Mytilus edulis: one gene and its partner. The protein of the gene in region 1 binds, or shares a complex with, the protein of each later gene. Links are inferred from orthologs where the notes say so. Each region holds a gene or a part of one and is shown on either strand. Other genes may lie near its edges.

Evidence for each region.
Region 2: the proteins of TBC1 domain family member 23-like (region 1) and protein FAM91A1-like are in contact, whole or in part, in a crystal structure (PDB 8JJ9), measured with the Homo sapiens proteins. The link is inferred for Mytilus edulis from reciprocal best matches to the Homo sapiens genes TBC1D23 and FAM91A1. Residues at the interface, in NP_001186127.1 of Homo sapiens: Arg533, His534, Val535, Ser536, Ser537, Asp539, Val541, Gly542, Lys543, Pro544, Tyr545, Arg546, Val548, Pro550, Val551, Phe552; in NP_659400.3 of Homo sapiens: Arg49, Glu60, Arg61, Tyr64, Asp84, Ile85, Lys88, Gly89, Leu90, Arg91, Ile92, Thr93, Phe95, Ser96, Ile159, Pro161, Tyr176, Ile177, Thr178, Glu179, Asp181, Ile182, Lys190, Asp194, Ile197, Asp198, Tyr216, Asn217, Lys218, Gly219.

The regions. Positions count from the first base shown.
Region 1 is NC_092348.1:58,052,105-58,062,825, forward strand, and holds the start of TBC1 domain family member 23-like, read right to left. Parts: upstream 4,964-10,721; 5' UTR 4,879-4,963; coding exon 4,850-4,878; intron 3,905-4,849; coding exon 3,796-3,904; intron 3,098-3,795; coding exon 2,992-3,097; intron 2,412-2,991; coding exon 2,204-2,411; intron 1,044-2,203; coding exon 920-1,043; intron 32-919; coding exon 1-31. UniProt on the Homo sapiens protein: Putative Rab GTPase-activating protein which plays a role in vesicular trafficking. Involved in endosome-to-Golgi trafficking.
Region 2 is NC_092344.1:95,392,738-95,403,364, forward strand, and holds the start of protein FAM91A1-like, read right to left. Parts: upstream 4,833-10,627; 5' UTR 4,721-4,832; coding exon 4,649-4,720; intron 3,104-4,648; coding exon 3,019-3,103; intron 2,277-3,018; coding exon 2,067-2,276; intron 1-2,066. UniProt on the Homo sapiens protein: As component of the WDR11 complex acts together with TBC1D23 to facilitate the golgin-mediated capture of vesicles generated using AP-1.

The DNA of each region.
Region 1 (10,721 bases):
AAGTACAGGTGGAAGCAAATAAACTTCTTAACTGAAAATCAAACATGTACATTTAATTTTTTTTCTGGGTTTATTTTAAATGTAAGCAAAAATATCTGGACTGGATCCTTTTTTTCCTGTTTTAAACTTGTCTTCAATGAATTTACCATCTATTTAAATAATAACGATGTGTGCAAAGTGAGAAAAAAAAATAGATATATCCCAGCTCTTATTCTTAAAAAGTTACTTTTTTATTTATCAGAACAAAATTTACTATCATAAAACCAATTTATATCTCTTAAGGTGGTACCCAACACCTTGACTAAAATTAATTTGGCTCGTTTAATTTTCATAAAATTTTGACAAAGTATTTACTTTAACCCTTTGACAAAAATTTCAAAAAATTTTAACCAACCATTTTATCAGAAAAATTACACTGGTTATATAGCAGTTTGACAAACACCAATTTTGATCATTGAGAAGCTTAATATTCCTTTTACAACACAATGTAATTAAAACGTTTAGATGACTTTACAGAGTTATCTCCCTGTTGTGTTAGGTACCACCTTAATTCTTAGGTGATACTTTAGCAAAGACAGCAAACATAGAATAGAGATTGCATATTCAGCAGTATTTTTTTTCTTTAAAGGTCAAAGTAAATTCTCTCATTGCATTTTTTTTTCAAATATTGTTCCAATCAACAAGTGAATAGCACACACTATGAGTGGTGTAAACGATACATCAAAATTAAATATTTATTTGATGCACTTTTTTCTGTTTTGATTTTACATAGGAAATAAGTTCAAACCAATATCGACAATAATAATAGTATCACTAAGTATTGAAATGTTTCTTAAACAGAGTGTAACGTCAAATTTACCAAACAGTGGAATAATATTATTTGTTAATTGATTGTTTGGACACATTCACAATTTCTTACCCAGGGTAGAGCATAAGTATCAGGAGTAATTCTTTTTGTGTCCAGAAATGAAGACAGTTCTGGGTCATGGTACTGTAGCAGTAACCTAAATAAATGGAATGGTTTTCCATTCTTTTCGCAATCTCTGAAATAAAAATAAATGATACATTAGAAAATTTAAACTGTATAATAACCACTTTAAATCAAGCATTTACTTCTTTTTTTTAAATACATTTTAGAAGATGGTCACATAAAAATTCATAAATCACATAAAACGCTAGTCCGAGATTACTCTGACGTCCAACAGCTGTTTTGCCAGACAAGCCGAAGCTGGGGCCGTGGAACCCGTTGGACGTCAAAGTAATCTCGGACTAATAAAACACATGTGTGTTTTGTTCAATGTTGAATGCCAAACTACGACCTATAGTGGTTTATTTCTATGTTGTTTGCTCTATCATGGAGAGTTGTCTTATTAGCAATCAAACCACATCTTCTTTTTTCATAAAATCAATCCATAAGGTAAGGGCTTATCAATCAACAAAATGTTTGATGGGTTAAAATTTCTATTTCCTTACATTCATCAATCCTTGAAATTCATTCAACTCTGAAGTCCATATCCCAACTCCCACTCACCAAATTTCCAGAATAAGAAATGATACATGTTTTGAACTCACTGGACCTGTAAATAAAGATTCTACCACTACATCGAGTGTGATACGATATTTATCCACTCGAGACATTTAAAACGCAAGGCTTGCCAAGCTTTTTAAATATTTTAAATTTAACTGTCGAGAATGGATAAATATTGTATTACACAAGATTTGGTGGTTGAATCTGTTTCTCTTATGATTTTTAAACCATATGCAGACAAATTCAATACTTCTTTTCAAATGATCTGCAAAAAGATGTGTTCTTTCTATGTGACGTCATCAGGCATGGTCGCCTTTTTTCATGCTGTCAGAGGAAATTCAGAGGAAAGCAAGAAAATTCGACGTCATAATCAAATTTTGACCAATGAAGAACTGAGATCAAACAATCCACAAGTTGATTAAATAAAAATAATCAACATGTCAGGAAAGGGATAAATCATGTAAGAATTAGAGAAACTATAATTATAAACTTATCGGGTTATACCTGAATTTGTGAGATAAAAAAACCTTATTTATCATCTCGTTTGTTTTGGTTTGAAAGTTTGAGACTGGTTAGACCATAAATGACTAAAAAAAATTAAACAATAAAATCTGATTATACTACATGTATTTGCATTTCATAAGATAGATTAGATATATTTACAAATCTACTCACCTTGAAATAAATTTGTTCAAAATGGCATAAAAACAATTGTAAATTTCTGCTCTGCTTAATTTCAATGCTAGTAAAGGCTGAATTACTCCTAGCCAATCACATTCTGATTTGTAAGTTTCATTACGGGACTTGCTGTAAAAGGTTATAATGGTTTCAAGGTCACTCACTAGAGTAAGTTTATCTTCTTCATCTTCATTTCCAAATTTATCTGAAAATAAACAAAGCATACCTTCACTGATACTTTTATAATAAAACTCCCTTGTAACTTTCTCCAATTTTAGTAGGAAGTTGACAAGCTTTAAATGTGAAAATACATCACAGTGTGCTTGTTCAAATGATTGATTGATTGTTGTTGTTTTAACTCCACTTTCAAAAGCCATTTTTGGGCTATTTTGTGGATGTCAGTTTTTATTGGTGGAGGAAGACGAAGTGCCTGGAGAAAATCATGACCTTTTATAAGAAAACTGACACTATTGGTCAATAAGATTGGAGTCGAGTGTACCTATGTGAGCAGGGTTCGAACTCACAACCTCAGTGTTGACTGGCTAGTGATTACAGTAGTAGAACTACTTAGACCACTTGGACACTGAGGGCCCCCTTGTTCAAATGAAGCCTGATGACAAACTTCCAGAAGCTCTGATTATGGTCATCATGTAAAAATATATAAGACATTTGTACCTGTCCATCACTATTTTCTTATAATGTTTCAGTTTATTTTGACCAATTTTTTCCCTGTTGCAGTGAAGAGTTTTGTCCCCTTAACATCTTTCCATAATATATATCCATACCTATAAGTGATTTACAATCCTGTCGTATCTGTTCCTGTTCTTTCAAATCAAACAATCCATCAAATGTTGCTAGAGAATCTCCTTTACCATGTACACCTAAACATATCTATAAAATAAATGAAAAAGTTTACTAACTTGATACAAAACTTACATTCATTCTTTGCCAAAAGTATTAAAATTACCGCACCAGAAAATATATCCTATTTAAATCATTGTTTGTTTTCCAAGAAAAAAACTATTCCGTCCATTTGATATATCAGTTAATACTCCAATTACATGTAACTCAAAAACAAATATTTTTGTGTATACCGCAAATATCACAGCTAAAATATTTTCTTTTTACTGACAAAGAAATGTAAAAAAAAATCATGCATAATGCATTATTAAATTCAGGAAGTCTCTTTTTTAAAGCTGTTGTGTTAAAACAAACATTGTGTCTTTTTTGAGGCACTTTCAAAATTGGGTATCTATATGTACCCATATGATATAAGCAATTTACAATAGTTATCAAAGGTACCAGGATTATAATTTAGTATGCCAGACGTCATCAGTGACGCTCAAATCAAAAATATTTATAAACCCAAACAAGTACAAAGTTGAAGAGCATAGAGGATTCAAAATTCCAAAAAGTTGTGCCAAATATGGCTAAGGTAATCTATGCCTGGGATAAGAAAATCCTTACAAACATTTAAGCATAATATTTTACACCCTCTTATGTTAAAGTTGCCTCCCCTGAGTCTGATGTATGTTTATATTGATCAACCCTAAAAGATGACAAAGAGACAATCTTGCGTTAAAATTTACCTGCCAAACTTCTGCACGGAGGTGTGCTGGCACTGGTCTATTTTTACAAATATTTCTCAATGTTCCGTAGTCACACTCATCTACCAAAGCTGTCTCTAAATCTATTATCCTAAAAAGCAGTCAAACACTTTGTTAGTTATGATCATACATGTAACAAGAAAAAAGGTCTTTAAAGCACAGATAAATTGCATTTTAAAATGCAAGATATTAAAATACTTTGAAGCCTTTTTTCATGTTTAATTGGGATCGATAATTGATTTTTCACACTACTTTCAAAGTTAAACAAGTAAAATAAAAGTGGTATAAATTTCAAGCTTTTAACCAATTCAGGATCACATTGTTTTCTAGTGCGTATGCTTAGCCTTTATTTGGCTACATGTGTCATTACTTTGTCAATTAACGCGATAAAGTTTACAGATTTTCAGCACATTTTTAATATTATCGTCCTTAATCACTTATCACGTTAAAATAAGAATGTACGCATTAAATGAAAGTTTAACGCATCAAAACAGGGTTTTTTGACCCCATATATGAAACCTTATAAATGTTCCCTTAATTATTGTTTGGACTGCAGCTACCTAGCACATTTTGTATGTGTCAGATCTTTTAAAATTACTAGATTTTCTAACTATATGCATCAGTTTGCATATAAATACGAGAATTAATACTAGTTACACTTTTTTCTTCAAAATAAATATAGATTGACCTGCTACCTAACTGCAGAAATTTGATATTCCACACAATTATGTCACATTGATACTCTTTTTATTTTATGCGTCCATCCCATCTTGCGAGACAATTATTAAAAAGTCGAAAAAAACAACAAGTCTTTATAGGCTAGAGGACGTCATGTTTATCTAGACAGTAGCACTTTTACTGTTCAATGTATTTTTAGCAGTCAGTTCTGACTGCATATGACTTGACCCTGTAGGGTTTTACAAGTTAGTGCTATCAATGGGAAACATGAATGTTTTTTTTATGATTCGTGATATGGCATATAATTGTTTATGAACCAATTTACTAATTATCTAATATATTATAGTTTGTTATTTACCAACTTGTGTCTTCTGACACTTCCGCCATAGTTGACGTGTAAGGACTCACTAATTTTTAAACATTAACGGACACATCTCCGGAAGTTTTTTTCAATTAATCATCAGAGAAATAGAATACATTATCATAGACCTATATGTCTCTGATGGTATGCATACGGTAGAAATGAATAAAACATATTGTAAAAGACAGATACGTGTGGAGGGAGAATGCTAGTTGGGGGCCACTGAGACCGGGATGTCATGTCCTCAATAGAATAGAATAGAATATTTTTATTTCCCAAATTAAAGGGCCCATTTAAAGGGCATAAAATCAGATACAATTGATTTACCCTATTGGTAATAACAACAATAATAGCGGCATATCATATAAATTTGGAATATAAGCATTGGTCAGAATCAAGCTAAAAACCAAATACCGGGTATATATTGTGAATAAAATTACATTATATATATATTTATTTTCAAATTAATTACTTGACTTAGTGCAATAGAATGTAGGACAGAAAGTGACTTGTCACAGGACAAAAAGTCACAATTATTTTTTAGTTTCGGAATAATTTCTTTAGTAAGAAAACGCTTATTTTTACAAAACATTTTTGTATTTTTCATGAACACATATCCTAAACTTTTATATGAATTAAAAAGTAAATATTTCAAGATAATTCACTTGTATATTTATAGTAGTCTCAGATTCAAACAATTGTCAACAAATTGTTTGTGACTTATTGTCCTGTGACTTTTCGTCCTGTGACTTTATGTCCATGCATTAACCCCTCAATCTGTTGTTTTAGGGAGTTAACTTGAAAAAAAGGCCACGTTATGTTTTTTTGTCTGAAGAGATATTTTTTCTCGCGTAAAACGAACATTTTTTTGGTAGTTTTTCAAAGCTATCAATCAAATTATTTTTGTTCAATTTCTATAAGGTAAAGGGCAAATCTAGATTAAGAATAAATTAATTTGTCATCTGCTTCAAATTCGTGATCAGATGATTATTTTTAGAAAAAAAGATACCCACTTGATGTTAACTGGTGATTCCCTTATGCGATCGTTGTTTTTTTTCTTCTTCATTTTCGGCAAGTAACAGAGGCGGATTTAGGGCAGTGGGCGGTGTGTCCGCCGGGTACTATCAAAAGTGGGGTTCAGGACACACTATATTTTATGGCCCCTCCAATACTTTTTGAAAACGGAAAGGAAGGAGGCCAGTGACTCATATACTTGCAGCTTTAGACAAAAGACGCCCATTTTTAGGCGTGTCACTTTTATCCTAGTTTATCCCCTCTACTCCTCCTTTAACTTTTCCTGGGTCCATTCCTGTTTTTGCAAGAACGTGTTCTCAATAGGTTTTAAGCTAAGTGGCCTGTGGAAAACTTGCCAAAAGTTTGATTGTTTTATTTAAAGACTTAGTTATTTTTTTCTACATAGTTTCTGTATATTGTATAAATAAAGACAAAATATACTAACGAAGTTTTTTGACTTCGAACAATAACTTTAGAACATTTTTAAGGGCAGTAGCTGGAACTTACACTCAACAATCCCAATTAATTAAACGTTAATCTCAGTAAATGCAATAGCAGGGGCGTACCCAGTCATTTTTAAAAGAGGGTTCCCAACACCGATAAAAAGGTTGGGGGCTGGGTTTTCCAACTATTTATCCCCAAATGCATTGATCGTCCAAATAAATAGCACCCCCACCTATGTATTACTCCAAAAATGTTTTGTTTTGTGTCTGGGAGTACTGATTGTTTGACGTAGTCATGGTAACCACTGGCAACATATCCTAGACCACGTAGACATGGTATAACCACTGGCAACATATCCTAGACCACGTAGACATGGTATAACCACTGGCAACATATCCTAGACCACGTAGACATGGTATAACCACTGGCAACATATCCTAGACCACGTAGACATGGTATAACCACTGGCAACATATCCTAGACCACGTAGACATGGTATAACCACTGGCAACATATCCTAGACCAAAGCACTTACGTACTGCTAACTCGGATGACAATACGATCGGATGACCTGTAAATAAATAACACAGAATGCAATCGCCCGGTAGACTGCTAGAAGTAACTTCATACGTCCAGTATCAAATATAACTTTTATGATATAGACGGTAGTTTAATTTTCAAATGTCATCATGCAACTTTCGTATTTGGACCTCAAGTATACTTTAAACTAATTCAGGTGGAATTGTCTATAACTCTTTTCTTTCAAGTATTGAATTCAATTTTACTTTAAAAGCTGCATGTTTCAACTAAAACAATACCAGGTATAGCTGAGACAATATATCTCAATGTATTTCTAAGGTACAGTCAGAGTATGCATGTGTATATGGTGCAGTCGTGGTATTTAAAAAAACACACCAGCTGTGTTTAAGACCCATTAGTGCATGGTCTTGTGCTATTTACTGTTCTTTGGTCGGGTTGTTGTCTCTTTGACACATTCACCGTTTCCATTATCTATTTTGCTCAATGTATTCGATATTGGTATAGACAAAATGACAAAGTATAATCATATAATGTCAAAGTACCATCATATAATGTCAAAAGTACCATCGTATAATGTCAAAGTACCATCATATAATGTCAAAGTACCATCGTATAATGTCAAAGTACCATCGTATAATGTCAAAGTACCATCATATAATGTCAAAGTACCATCGTATAATGTCAAAGTACCATCGTATAATGTCAAAGTACCATCATATAATGTCAAAGTACCATCGTATAATGTCAAAGTACCATCGTATAATGTCAAAGTACCATCATGAAATGTCAAAGTACCATCGTATAATGTCAAAGTACCATCATGAAATGTCAAAGTACCATCGTATAATTTTGCTCAATGTATTCGATATTGGTATAGACAAAATGACAAAGTACAATCATATAATGTCAAAGTACCATCATATAATGTCAAAGTACCATCGTATAATGTCAAAGTACCATCATATAATGTCAAAGTACCATCGTATAATGTCAAAGTACCATCATATAATGTCAAAGTACCATCGTATAATGTCAAAGTATCATCATGAAATGTCAAAGTACCATCGTATAATGTCTTAGTACCATCGTATAATGTCAAAGTGCCATCGTATAATGTCAACGTGCCATCGTATAATGTCAAAGTACCATCATATAATGAAAGTTTTTAACATAAGGCAGTTCCGGCGTTCCATACATATGGGTTAAAAAAAAACATATTTATCACAATCTTTATTTTTAATTTTACAAATTGTTTTTATTGCAATAAGATGGATAAAATGAACAAACGAACACTTGAAATTAAATATTTGTTTAATTGTATATCTAAATCCTATTTTGGTACTCTCGCCTAAGGTGACATAAGATACGTAATATTTTTTACATTTACAAGCTTGCAGTTCATGCATGTTCCTTTGCATTTGCATTTTTTTTGTAAACGGTTGCTAAATTGTCTAAAACAATTGTCCTCCCACATTATGTTTACTTCTGATATCTTCAATTTTAGTGATCATAATTCAATAAATGTATAGATTGACATGCTATTAAAATACAAGAGATCAACAGATTTAAAATTAGCCTAAATTTTAAAAAAAGTTAAAATATAAAGGGTTTTTTCAATTACAATTGAACTATTTTATATTACTATGATTTGAGAGTTAAGTTATGTTGATCTGTTATATGCATTTGTATCTAATAGACTTGCTCATTGTTGAAGGCCGTACGGTGACCTATAGTTGTTAATGTCTGTTTCATTTTGGTCTCTTGTGGACAGTTGTCTCATTGGCAATCATACCACATCTTCTTTTTTATATTGACCAACTTCTTAATATTAGCCAGACCGTATGCGTACGGTCCGACCGTGTGAGTATTTTGAAAAAGTACGCATACGGTCCAGACCGTACGCGTACGGTCCAAATACTCAGTACGGTCTGGGAGACGTAAATTAAATACCGAATTGAATTGGTTCAAATTCAAATATCTTGATTCCTAATCAAAGAGCATATAAATCAACACAAATCACAAAGTGCATACAATATCCAAACAAACAGCACATGCAATCGTTAATAATTAAATATGATTTTAAACACTAATGGAAAAAAGTAAAATCACAAAAATACTGAACTTAGAGGAAAATCAATTTGGAAAGTCCATAATCACATGGCAAAATAACAAAACGCATCAAAAACGAATGGACAAGAACTGTCATATTCCTGACTTTGTACAGGCATTTTCAAATGTAGAAAATGGTGGATTAAACCTGGTTTTATAGCGCTGAACCCTCTCACTTTGCCGACAGTCTTGATCAAATTCCGTTATATTTACATTGATGCGTTAACTAAACAGACACAATAAATACAATATTCTAAATATGGGTACATCAGTCATCATCGTATAACAATTTTAAAAGGAACAATTTAATAGAACACAAAAACATCTATCTACAAATACATTCATTGATTTGTGTGTCTGACGTCAGAAAATTTTATACGTCACATAAATTTGTCGTTCAATGTGCATACAAACAATTTTAAAATTTACATAGGCAATGTTAGCATACAGGGTTAAAAAATCAAAAGTATGTAAGTATAAATTTCAGAAATAGACCCGAGATTTAAAATAGTCCAACATTTATATATAGAATTTATAAGAATCCACAAATAGTTAATTCCACTACGCATTGAATGATTTTGACGTTTGTGGTTCAACGTATTTTGTTATTCATATTTAGAAATATATCATAATGACATAAATTAGAACAATAATATCATACTGACGGGATCTTCAGTTAAAGTACAGAGTCACGTTATAAGAACCAAAGAAATATACAAACACATTGTCGAGATGTATAAGTACCGAGCCAGGTCAAACGGATATCACATAAAACCATTCAACAGTAAAAGAAATATTGTTAAAAGAACAAAGGCAAACGAAAGAACTATAAAACACGTTGTTAAGATGATAAACAACATCAGTACGCAGAATCTATATACATCAAGACAATCGTGTATTATTTGTGAAGTTGATACGGAATATTTATCAACAAGGTCCTGGTACCTTCCGATGAACTTTTTTTTAGAAAAAGGACGAGACGTTCTTTGACATACCCCTGGTTCGTGGTTCATCAACTTTCTACTCAGACACTGATGACGTTTTACAAAGTCTGAGTAGGAGCTGCACGCTCTTGGATATCGAATAAGTTGGGAAATATATATCCCATATGCAGGTGAAGTTGTTACATGTATATTGCTACTAAGGTGGTGGAAATTTATAATTTCAAAATTAAAATCGTCTCGTTTGTCATAGATTCTGGTACTGAGATGACTGTGTAAGTCAAAGTCGAGATATAAGTCTAAAAATGAGGCGGAGGAAGCCGTGCCTGTTGTTTCTTTAATCTCTAGTTCTGTGGGGTATATTAATGGAACCCAATCAGAAAAGTTCGGATTGTTTATGGAAAGAACATCATCAATATATCTGAAAGTGAAATTAAATAATCTGGCTTCTTTGATCCTCTTGTTTTTGACAAGTGTCTGGAGGAACTCTGATTCATAAGAAAATAAGAAGAGGTAGGCAAGAAGAGGCGCACAGCTTGTTCCCATAGGAATGCCGACAATTTGTTGGATACCATGATATTAAAAAGAATATGTACATGATAGGAGAAAGCCAGTACAAAGAGGAATAACTCTAGTTATTTATCCCAACTTTTGTCTATTTTTTCTTGTCTGGTCTGGATATTTTTATTTAGGTATCATAGATTAAAATCTGTATTGAAAACTAAATCTTCATTGATCATTATCCAGACAAGAGATTTTCTATTTTTTGGTTTCTCCGATTTGGAAACTTTTGAAATAAATTTGAAATAAAATTCTAATGT
Region 2 (10,627 bases), on another chromosome or scaffold:
GATTTTATTTTTTAAATTTTATTTCATATGAAACCTTCTTGTCATGTGTTATTTATATATGAAAGTGTTATAATAAGCTTATATCATGTAAATACATCCATAAGGTATCGTGTATCAGACAATAACAATCAAAACCAAGGAGTAACCAAAGACCCATAAAACCAAAAGACATTTACATCAACAGTTACAAATAATAAGTAGGAAACAATACGAACTCCACTAAAAACGAGGGGTGAAATCAGGTGCTCCGGAATGGTAAGCATTTCCTGCACAGCATACGGCACCCGTCGGGTTATTTCTTTGTTCAGTTCGGTAATGATGAAAGGTTGTTATGACTGAATCACTGAGACATGATTTCTGACACACTTTTGTCATAATGGCCAATCAGCTCATGATGGCGACCATTAAATTGCTTGAGTGATGACCTTAATTTGATTGATTCATAGCCCTGTCTTAGCAACTTTAAATTTGAGAAAGCAGTATTCCTCGTTCAACAAAATCAACGTACTTTGAGCTAGCTCTAGAGTAACGTATCAATTGAGACACATATACTCCATATGCTGGTTCCGCTTTCTCAAAATTATAAATATATATCTCTGATTGGAAACCACTGTTCTACATGTAATTGCCACTTTAGAAACCTATTTTATAGTAAAGCATGCAGCAGAAATGTGGAGAAATGCTCTAGCTCTTCAGTTGGACTACCTACATCAAATGCATTTTGCTTTCTTAATCTAAGCAATGTTTTGTTGTCCTAATAAAATGAAGCAAATGCATTGGTATGCAACACAAGTACGATAAGTACAGAATAAAATGAACTCAAACAGTGTTTAATTAATAGGGTTGGTCCTTAATGTGCAAGATGCAAACTTAATTACAATGTAGAACATAACGTTGTTTAATGACTCTATCGTGGGTATTGGGACAGAGGATATTTTCTCTATTTTTACAAAAAACGAAATAAAAGCTAAATCTGAATCTAAGAGCTTGCTATGAATTAATAAATTAAAAATGCGTATGTTTGTTGATTTTTTTTAATTCAATATACGGTCACCAATCTAAAAAGTTCATGCTTGTGTCAATTTCTTTATTCCAGTCTAATGTGTTCCACGATTTTAACACTTTTGGGTTTCATTCACAGTCCAAATTTCTTGACACAAAGTCATTGCATAAATAAAATAAATCCAAGGTGTTTTACTCACATACATTTGTGTCATTTGGGACATACGCTACGGCGATTTGCGTTCTTGGACACAGCGTATTACTCGTAACCCGAATATTTCACGCCCTTCTCGTAATCAATCTCTATTCTCGGTAAATGATGTTTTCATCATAGATCAGCAGAATATATCAACTTAATCATTCAGTAAGAATACTCTAAGAAATAAGAAAACCAAAATTTGAAACAGGAAGTTTTACATGAAACGAAATTATCGACGGTTACCGGTAACGGAAATGAACAAAATCCGGAAATCGTATTTTTTTCAAAAGTAAAAAAAATCGGGGCGGGAAGATTTCAGAGGTGCGGGCGGGGATGAAAATCTATCAATTAATTTTAATTGGCCTAAAAGTCCCATATCTCTTGAAAGACAAAAAAGAAAATCCTGAAAATACTAGTGCAACAATAAATGTTCAGGAAAAAGGATCACAACAAAATTATGTTGGAAAATGTCCAATTTTTAAATGTAAAAAGTCCAATAACTCTGGAATGACAAAAATGGAAATTGTCAAAATAGAAACAGAGCTTTTCTCTGTTAGTCTCAAAGTTGTTAAATTTTAAAGAGACTTTATTTAAACAGTAAAGCCCACACATTCCCTTACATTCAATGTACAAAATAAATGCCTGAAGGGATTTTTGAACAGTCTCACATTGTATTGACTCAAAAGAGGAGCTTTAATTCCTTGTCAAATTTCATACATATCAATATTGATTTTTAGTTTTTATGAATTTTAAGATAACTTCTTAGGCTTTAATCTTTTTGCATATTCCGAATATAAAAGCTGAAAATTGGAGTAAATTGAATAAATGATCAAATTTTTATAAAAGACAAACTGATGAAACTTACAATCAGCTGCAGTAAAGTTTGGTAAGGAGTCATAACTTTTCTCTTGTGACATGATATCAGACATCATATTAATATAGTATACAAATGGTGTAACTCTAAGTCCTTTGACGACTATGTCAGACAGATGATACGGGTATAACATCAGATGATCCTGGCTATACTGTAACATATCCATGTAATATCTCTTCTCATCTTTACGTATTGTCTTTACTACAAAAATAATTGTTATATAACAGTTTTAAATAATAAATACTTTAACAACTGACAATGCTTTTATATGTTTATAGCAAGTGCTTAATACTCAGTATTTTTTTGCTTGCAATATAGTGTAAAATGATTGATTATTTTTAATTGTACCCCAAGTTTTTAACTATCTCTATAGATTTGTAATTTCTGTGTGTACAGGACTGCACACAGGTAGGTAAAAGTATAAACAGATGAATTTAAGATGCATATGAACATTTTCTTCATAAAATGTTTCTTCATAAAACGTATCAAATAAATTTCAAAATTAAGATGACATTACAGTTTTAATATTCTGGTTTATTTACTATTTCTTTATTCATATAAATCTATTTCAGAATAAACAAATGAATATTTAAAAACATTTCTTAACAGTGTAAGTATGGAGAATTCTAACATATTTCTATGCTGCAAGTTTAACATATTTCTATGCTGAAAGTATAACATAAACAAGATTGATTAATTGGTGTCTCATGCTATTTTCAGCACTATTGATGACTGATTCATCTTAATTTGAGGTGGAAGTCTGGCCAGGAGAGAACCATAAACCTTTATAATCCTAGTCAATTAACTTTTGTGATTTCATACATTCTTTATGTATTTTAATTATAACTGTTTAAGATCTCATTTGATAGTGTTTTGCAATGGTGATTATCCTGATAGTGATTAGTTATAACATAGGGTTGTTGGTTTTATTTTGAATACATACCAATATTTGCTTTCCATCTTAACTGATTCTTTATACTAAAGGAAACAATGGCTTTGTCATACTCTCTCTGAGAATTTCCCAACACCTGAAAATATTTAACAGTATTTAAAAAAAATTGTTATTTTTGGTTGATTTTTGTACCAAATCATAAAGTAACAACTTATAGTGGAATAAATAAGATTTGTATTGAACACAATTTTTTTTTAATTTTTGCTGAAATTTTTGTAACCTTGAGCATCCCTAATCTTGCAGTGAATGATAAATTATAAAAAGTACTTCACAAAAACCTGTTACTGTTAGATTTTTTTTATAGAACCTGTCATTCAGATAGAAAATTTGTAAAAGATACTGTGATAAAAAATCTACTATGTGTTATTTGAGGTATGTATAATGAGAATCAAGTTTCTTTTTGTTAACTAAAATTTTCTTAATTCCATCAATATCATTCTTGACCTACAATTAATGTACTTAGAAGGACTGCTACAAATGATTCAAACAAATATGCATTTTATACACCATGCATATTGTAGATAGTTTAATGTAGATTAACATATGTAGCGGTTAATACTGTTGCAATTTACGCTAAGATATACCAACCTGTTCAGTCATAATTTTCAGTAGAAAAATCAATAAAAAAATTCGGCCCGAAATTTTCATTGTACTAATGAATTCAAAATCTTTAACTTTTTTTGTAGCTTTTTTTAATTCCTGCATTTGCGCAGAACGCAGAAATCGACTTCCTTTTCCGGTCTCATTGTCATGAGACTTTGAGTAGTCTAGTAAAATATAGGAACTCAAGGAATACAATACCAATTTCATTTTTATAATTCTTTGTCTTTGATATGAATAAACGTTACCTGATGATCGCGTTTCTTTATTTACATTGAACATGACGTCATAAGTAAAATCCCTAACAACAGAACCAAAATCAGAAACGTTACAGTATTTCCGTTTCCTTTTTAACAGATTTTGGAGTTACAAAAAAAGAATTCATTCAGACTTGGTCCCCTTTCACTGTTAATACCAGCCTCATATTTACAACAGATAAGCACCCATGCCAACTTCAACAATGGTATTGAACAAACTAAAAAAAAAACGACTTTAACAAGCGACAATATTGATATATCACATCAAAATAACAAGTTTCAGTGGGGCAGGCAGACAACTGCAAATGGAAGAGTAATTGTTGTATGATGTCAATAGTTAAAACGGCACAGATTTTCAAATCGCAATAAGGAGTATACACCTAATTGCTATTCCTGGCTGACCAGAGAATCTATCCCACTTGAACTATTGATGTCAAACAACAATCCCTTTTCCATTGTGGCGTCAGATATTTTGTATTATGCCGTCTAATTTCATGGGAACCTGTGTGATGTCCGGTAGTGGCGGACAAAAAGCGATAAGGTGTATTGTCATGGAACATTCTGACTGAACAGGTTAAGATATTATTTGCTTTATGAACAAAATGGTTCCACGAAAAAAGCACCAGTTGGAAGGTCAAGTGTGGGACCATATTTGGTAACTCAGTACATACTGATAAAATCCCTGTTTGTGACAGGAGGGTTTTTGGGACTCCATATATTTAGAAGATAAATTTACAAAAATATCATATGGTATTTTATCACACCTGCTTAAGATTTGGTGGCAATTTGGTCCATGGATGATTTTGGCGAATATTATTTTCAATGTCAGCATTCATCTTGATCGTTTAAAAATCAAGTCATCATGTACAAAATTAAATAATTAAATGACTGTTGAAAGACACCCCCATTTTTCTGCCATGTTGTTAAATTGACGGAAGAGATACTTTATTGTTACCGTCTTTTTAATTGGTCAATCTAAATCCTTAGAGCTAATCAAAATTGATTTTGCAGAATGGTCTTTCATTAGCGATTTGTTTACAAATGGCTGACGTTTTGACAGAATATTGAGAACATGGATTAGAAAGGTTGATATTACACAAATGTCAGCTCTTTTAAATTGTGAAAACAGTCATATATCTTAATTCATATTTAAATAGTATCTGTATATATTTTTTTTAAAGCTTTTGAGACGCTTCGGCCTCAAAAACTTCTTCGTCCACACTTGCCACAGACTCGGTCGTTTCGGCTAGAGCTGACATCGGAAGCGGCGATTTGGCCTCTTAATCCGTTCGGTCACAGTCGTTTGGACTGTTTTGGCCACAGATGAGTCCACTCTATTTCTATATGTAGCACTCTATTAAAAGTGCGATTTTGGATAGGTCAGTTTCGAGATGAAAAGTCACAGGACAAAAAGTCACAATTCATTTTTTTCTGAATATTTTCTTTGAATAAAAAATGCTTATTTCTACAAAAATATTTTTGTATTTGTCTTTAACTATTGTAAAAAATCTAACTTTGTAATAAAAAAAATATCCAAGTAAATCTAATAATTGTTAAAAAAAAAAAATGTCAGAGACAGAGTGGCTTGGCACTTAAATGGCTTCATGGTGCCAAGAAATCTTTCTTTTACATGATTAAAATTAAATAAATCTTCATTTTTTTAAGTATAATGACACATTTCCTAATCATTGTCATTAATATGAATATATATCCAGTGGAGTCCCTGGTGTCTGCACGGCCGGTGATACCGTGCATTAGCTGATTTCATCATATCAACAAAGTAACACAAATAAAATTGTTCTTGTTATTGTTTTAGCCCTCCAAAATCTTTCCTTTGTTCAAAATAAGCTATTTTTGGAAGGCATGCGAGAAATCGCCGGACATTCGAGGAACTCTCAGAACAGGGGTTTCCCTAATTTTGGACACACATTCCACAAAATCTGGAAGGTGAAACCATACAAACAGAAGATTTTATGAAATTAAAGTATGTTATGAATGTGTTCACACAATATTATCCAATTATTTGTTTTTATCAGTTGAATGGAGTGAACATGGACGTTACATGGTGAAGTCATAAGTCTTAGGTGTGTGGTTACACCGGACTGCACCGTTTTAGAAAGTAAATATTTCAAGATATTTCTCTTATATACAAATACAAATATTTTATTGGCACAAACTCAATTACAATAATTGGCAATGGCCCATACAACTAGTATACAAATAGTAATGATGCAGCATTTAAACAATACTACATAGAATATCGATAGGCATATTTCAGACAATGAAATGTGCAGTTATAAATATATCAATATATATAGGTTATTTCTCGCTACATTGAAGACCTGTTGGTGACCTTCTGCTGTTGTTTTTTTCTATGGTCGGGTTGTTGTCTCTTTGGCACATTCCCCATTTCCATTCTCAATTTTATAATTTATAAGAATAGACTACTGACATAAGTATATTGTATGTTATAGCTTCAAATTGTTCATATTACTCATTTATAAGGACATTTTTCCTTAATTCAAATGATTGATTAATAAAAGATGATATTAATCTAAGTGTTTTTATGCAGTTAAGCTGCATTATGCGAGCACCCTAGATTTGTGTTCTACCCAATAAATCCTGAAATACTTGCCATTGTTATTATCTAGCTTGCTACTATGTTATATATAACTAATTGAACACTTTTTTAATACTTTTTATTCTGGATTACAAAAATAATGACCAGAAAAACCTTAAATGATCGTCGATTTATCCAAAAGTTTTAAAGTTACACATAGGAAGTAGTGCTTATTAAGAATCCTTGTGTAGTTCATTATGACTTGTGCTTTTAGCTAAGATGTCAAAGAACAATTGTATGAAATATTTAATCGCCGAATATCTCTTAAGACAAGTAGTTTAGATTTCCCAAATGACAAAAGTCGTAGGAATACTGTTTGTCATCAAATACGTAGTACAACTACGTCAGTAGTCTATTATATAATAATTTCAACTGTTCATGCTGTTGGCGGCAATTTCAAATTAGAAAAAGAAATTTTCGTAGCTTTTCAATTTGGAGGCAGGTGTGCAAATTAGCGGTGGTCCGAGGTCCGCGACCTTCCACTTTTGCAAGCGGAATTTCGACTAGGATAGTTGGTTTCTAGCTACGCCCGACGTAGTCACCTTGAAAGAAAATAAGAAATTACTTTGCAAACCTTTTCACCATTTTCACCAAAGTCTCCAATTAAACGAGCTAAAAACTTATTTTTATCATTATTATTCATGATCATTCATGACGGCGATGTTCATTTTGTTCAACCGCTAGCTTTATACAGAAAATCGCCGACAAATATTGTATAAATTCGAGTAAAATCGTATCTGATTGACAAAAACAACATTGCAAACACATCACAATGGCGGCCGTGAAGACAAAATTTTACAAAATCGGATCCGATTCCGGAAGCGGATAAGGGTAATTCCGGGTTAGGCGATCATTTACAAAATAAATCCAAGCAGGTGAAAAATACATCTATGCATGGTAAATGAATATAAACACTAGTATTGTAAACCAAAAGAAATATGTAAAAGAAAGAAAAAGCAGAAAAATATTTTATTCAGAAACTCAAAATTACTTTTTGACAAATTTTAATTTAAAAATCCAATACAACGTGACAGCTGGGAACAGTATATCTAACAATATACATGTTCATGGTCACAGTCTAAATTTTCTTTATAAATGATAAATGATGATAATGCATGTGAGATGCTTTTAAAGTGTAAAGATTACTGCAATTTCGAGGAGTTATTTGTTTTTTCTCAATTTTGAAGGGTCAACTAAAGTAGCTGAAAGTTTCATTCTTTTTTTTTTCACTAATAATGCAACTATATTATATATACCTTAATGTAAGTAAATCATATGATATATAGGTGGCATTCTTTGGGCCACTCTACCCCCTCCTGTTTGATAACTTGGAAACGGTCGAGCTCCCCACCCCTAAACCATATGAGGGGGCAGATCCAGGATTTTAGGTTAGGAGGGGTGCAAACTTAAATTTTCGCTGAGCAGAGCGAGGCTAAAAAAAAATTGAGGTAAAATTCTCGGAATATTCTTTATTAAGCTGAGAACAACCCATGCTTTGGAAATTTGAGTCCGCCCCTGCATATATTCAAGTATAGGACAATATAATAAAGAAAAAATGAAATATAGGGGGAGTCCCTGGAGTTACCCCACCCCCTCCTGTTTGAGGACTTGGAAACGGTCGAGATCCACACCCCTTAACCATATATATATTCATGTTTGTGACAATATGAAAAATCAAATGAAATATAGGAAGAGTTGCTAGGGGTCACCCCACCCATCCTGTTTTAGAATTTAAAAATGGTCGAGATCCCCATCCCTAAACCATATATATTCATGTATGGGATAATATAACAAATCAGATGAAAGATAGGGGGAGTCACTGAGGTCACTGTTCACCCTCCTGTTTGAGAACTTGGAAATGGTCAAGATCCTTACCCCTAAACCATATATACTCATGTATGGGACAATATAACAAATCAAATGAAATATAGGGGAAGTCCCTGTGGTCATCCCAACCCTCCTGTTTGAGAACTTGGAAACGGTCGAGATCCCCACACCAAAACAATATATATTCATGTATGGATCAATATAACTAATTAAATGAAATATAGGGGGAGTCCCTTGGGTCACCCTACCCCTTCTGTTTGAGAACTTGGAAACCAATGAGATCCCCACCCCTAAACCATATATATTCATGTATGGGACAATATAACAAATAAAATGAAATGTAGGGGAAGTCCCTAGGGTCACCATACCCCCAGTGGCGGATCCAGACATTTTTATAAGTGGGGCCCACTAACTGACCTAAGAGGGGCCCGCTCCAGTCACGCTTCAGTGATTCCCTATATAAGCAACCAAATTTTTTCCAAAAAAGGGGGGCCGGGCCCCCTACCCCTACCTGTTTGAGAACTTGTAAACTGTTGAGATCCCCACCCCTAAATTATATATATTCATATGTATGGGACAAAATAACAAATCATTTACATTTACTATGGGCAGGTCAGTCAGACCTCACCTTTGATCCCTGTTGTAGTGAACATTTGTTTTCTTTCCAGGGAAACCAGTCCATTCATACTATTACATGTTCATACTAAGTCAAATTCAACTTCTAGCAGTCAAATAAAACCAAGGTTAACTACCAAGTAGAACAACTGCAATCATTGGGAACTTGTACCACTGCAGATTCACCATAAAAAATATACATTGATACCGTATATGCATTGCTTTTGAAACCTTGATAACATAAATTATTTGCCTTAATAAATAAATCATTAGATAAACATGAATGTACTATATATGAATGTTTAATGTTGAGGCAACATTGCCACAGTTTTCATAATTACGGTTGCCTTGGTTTTTGGTTAACTGCCTTCAGCGCTTACAGCGCTTTGATTCTACACTTGCTATTAAGTAGTAGTTTGATATATTCATCCTCAGTTTTGGATTGTTTGTCATAATTTTTAAAATTGTACAATTTTGATATAAGATCATTTATTTGTGATTCATATTTTGTGCAGTGCTAGATAAAATGTTTTTCATTTTCTATATTTTTTTATGACATAATTTGCACAACCTTTCTTCTCTGTAAACTTGCATGTATCTACCTCTTTAAATTTCAAGATTGTGTGCACTTAGCCTTAGTTTTGCCAAAGGTGCCCTATCTTTCAACATATTCAATTGGTCAACATAGTGTGCACGTTTATTTGAAAAACAAAAATGTTGAAAATTTGATAATTTTGATGATTCTGTAATATATGAATTCTGTTCTTATAAAATTTGGTTATGAATTCTGTTCTTGTAAAATTTGGTTATGAATTCGTTGTTTTATTTGAGCAAGAGTATAGGTGTAATAGGTACATTAAAAGATGTTAAATACGAGAAACCCAGATTATGGATACATTTCTTCATATTACTTGTCCATAGGTTGTTTTCTCTTGTTTGAATAAATATGTCAAAATTTTAGCTTTTAAGGGGAGTCTACCAAGCTCACTGCGACATGCATGGTTGGAAGTTTTACAGTGAACCCCAAGAATTTCTTTCAGAAATTTTATATGAAACTTTTCATATGGTTCATTCTCAGTATTTTTTTGAATTGATTCAATACCCCAAACTTCACTTCCATATAATAAAATTGGAAGTACCATTGTATCAAAAAGTTTTTCTAAAAGTCTACATGAATTGTTATGACTAAGAGATTTCTTTATTTTGAATAGAGCTTTTCTAGCCTTTTCCATCAATAAATTGGAGGCAAGATTAAATTTACCATTGCATTTTAAAGTTATCCCAAGGTAACAATATTTATCAACTGTCTCAATATAATATTTGTTGATAGTAAAAAAGTTTTGAAATAATTTGCCGTTAGAATTGAATATTAGGACTTTTGATTTTGTAGAATTTACTTCCAGCTTCCAATCTGTACAGAACTGAGCTAGAGTGTCAAGACTACATTGTAGTCCTTCTGGACTACTTGACAATAGTACCAAGTCATCGGCATATAACAAACAATGAATCTTATTATCACCAATTAGCACAGGGTCTGTGCTATTGTTTTTAAAATTTTCAACAATATTATTAATAAAAATATTAAATAGCAAAGGGCTTAGAACATTGCCTTGTTTGACACCTCTTTCAGATATGAAAGATGTACTTAAACCATCATTAAATTTTATTCTATTCTTTGTTT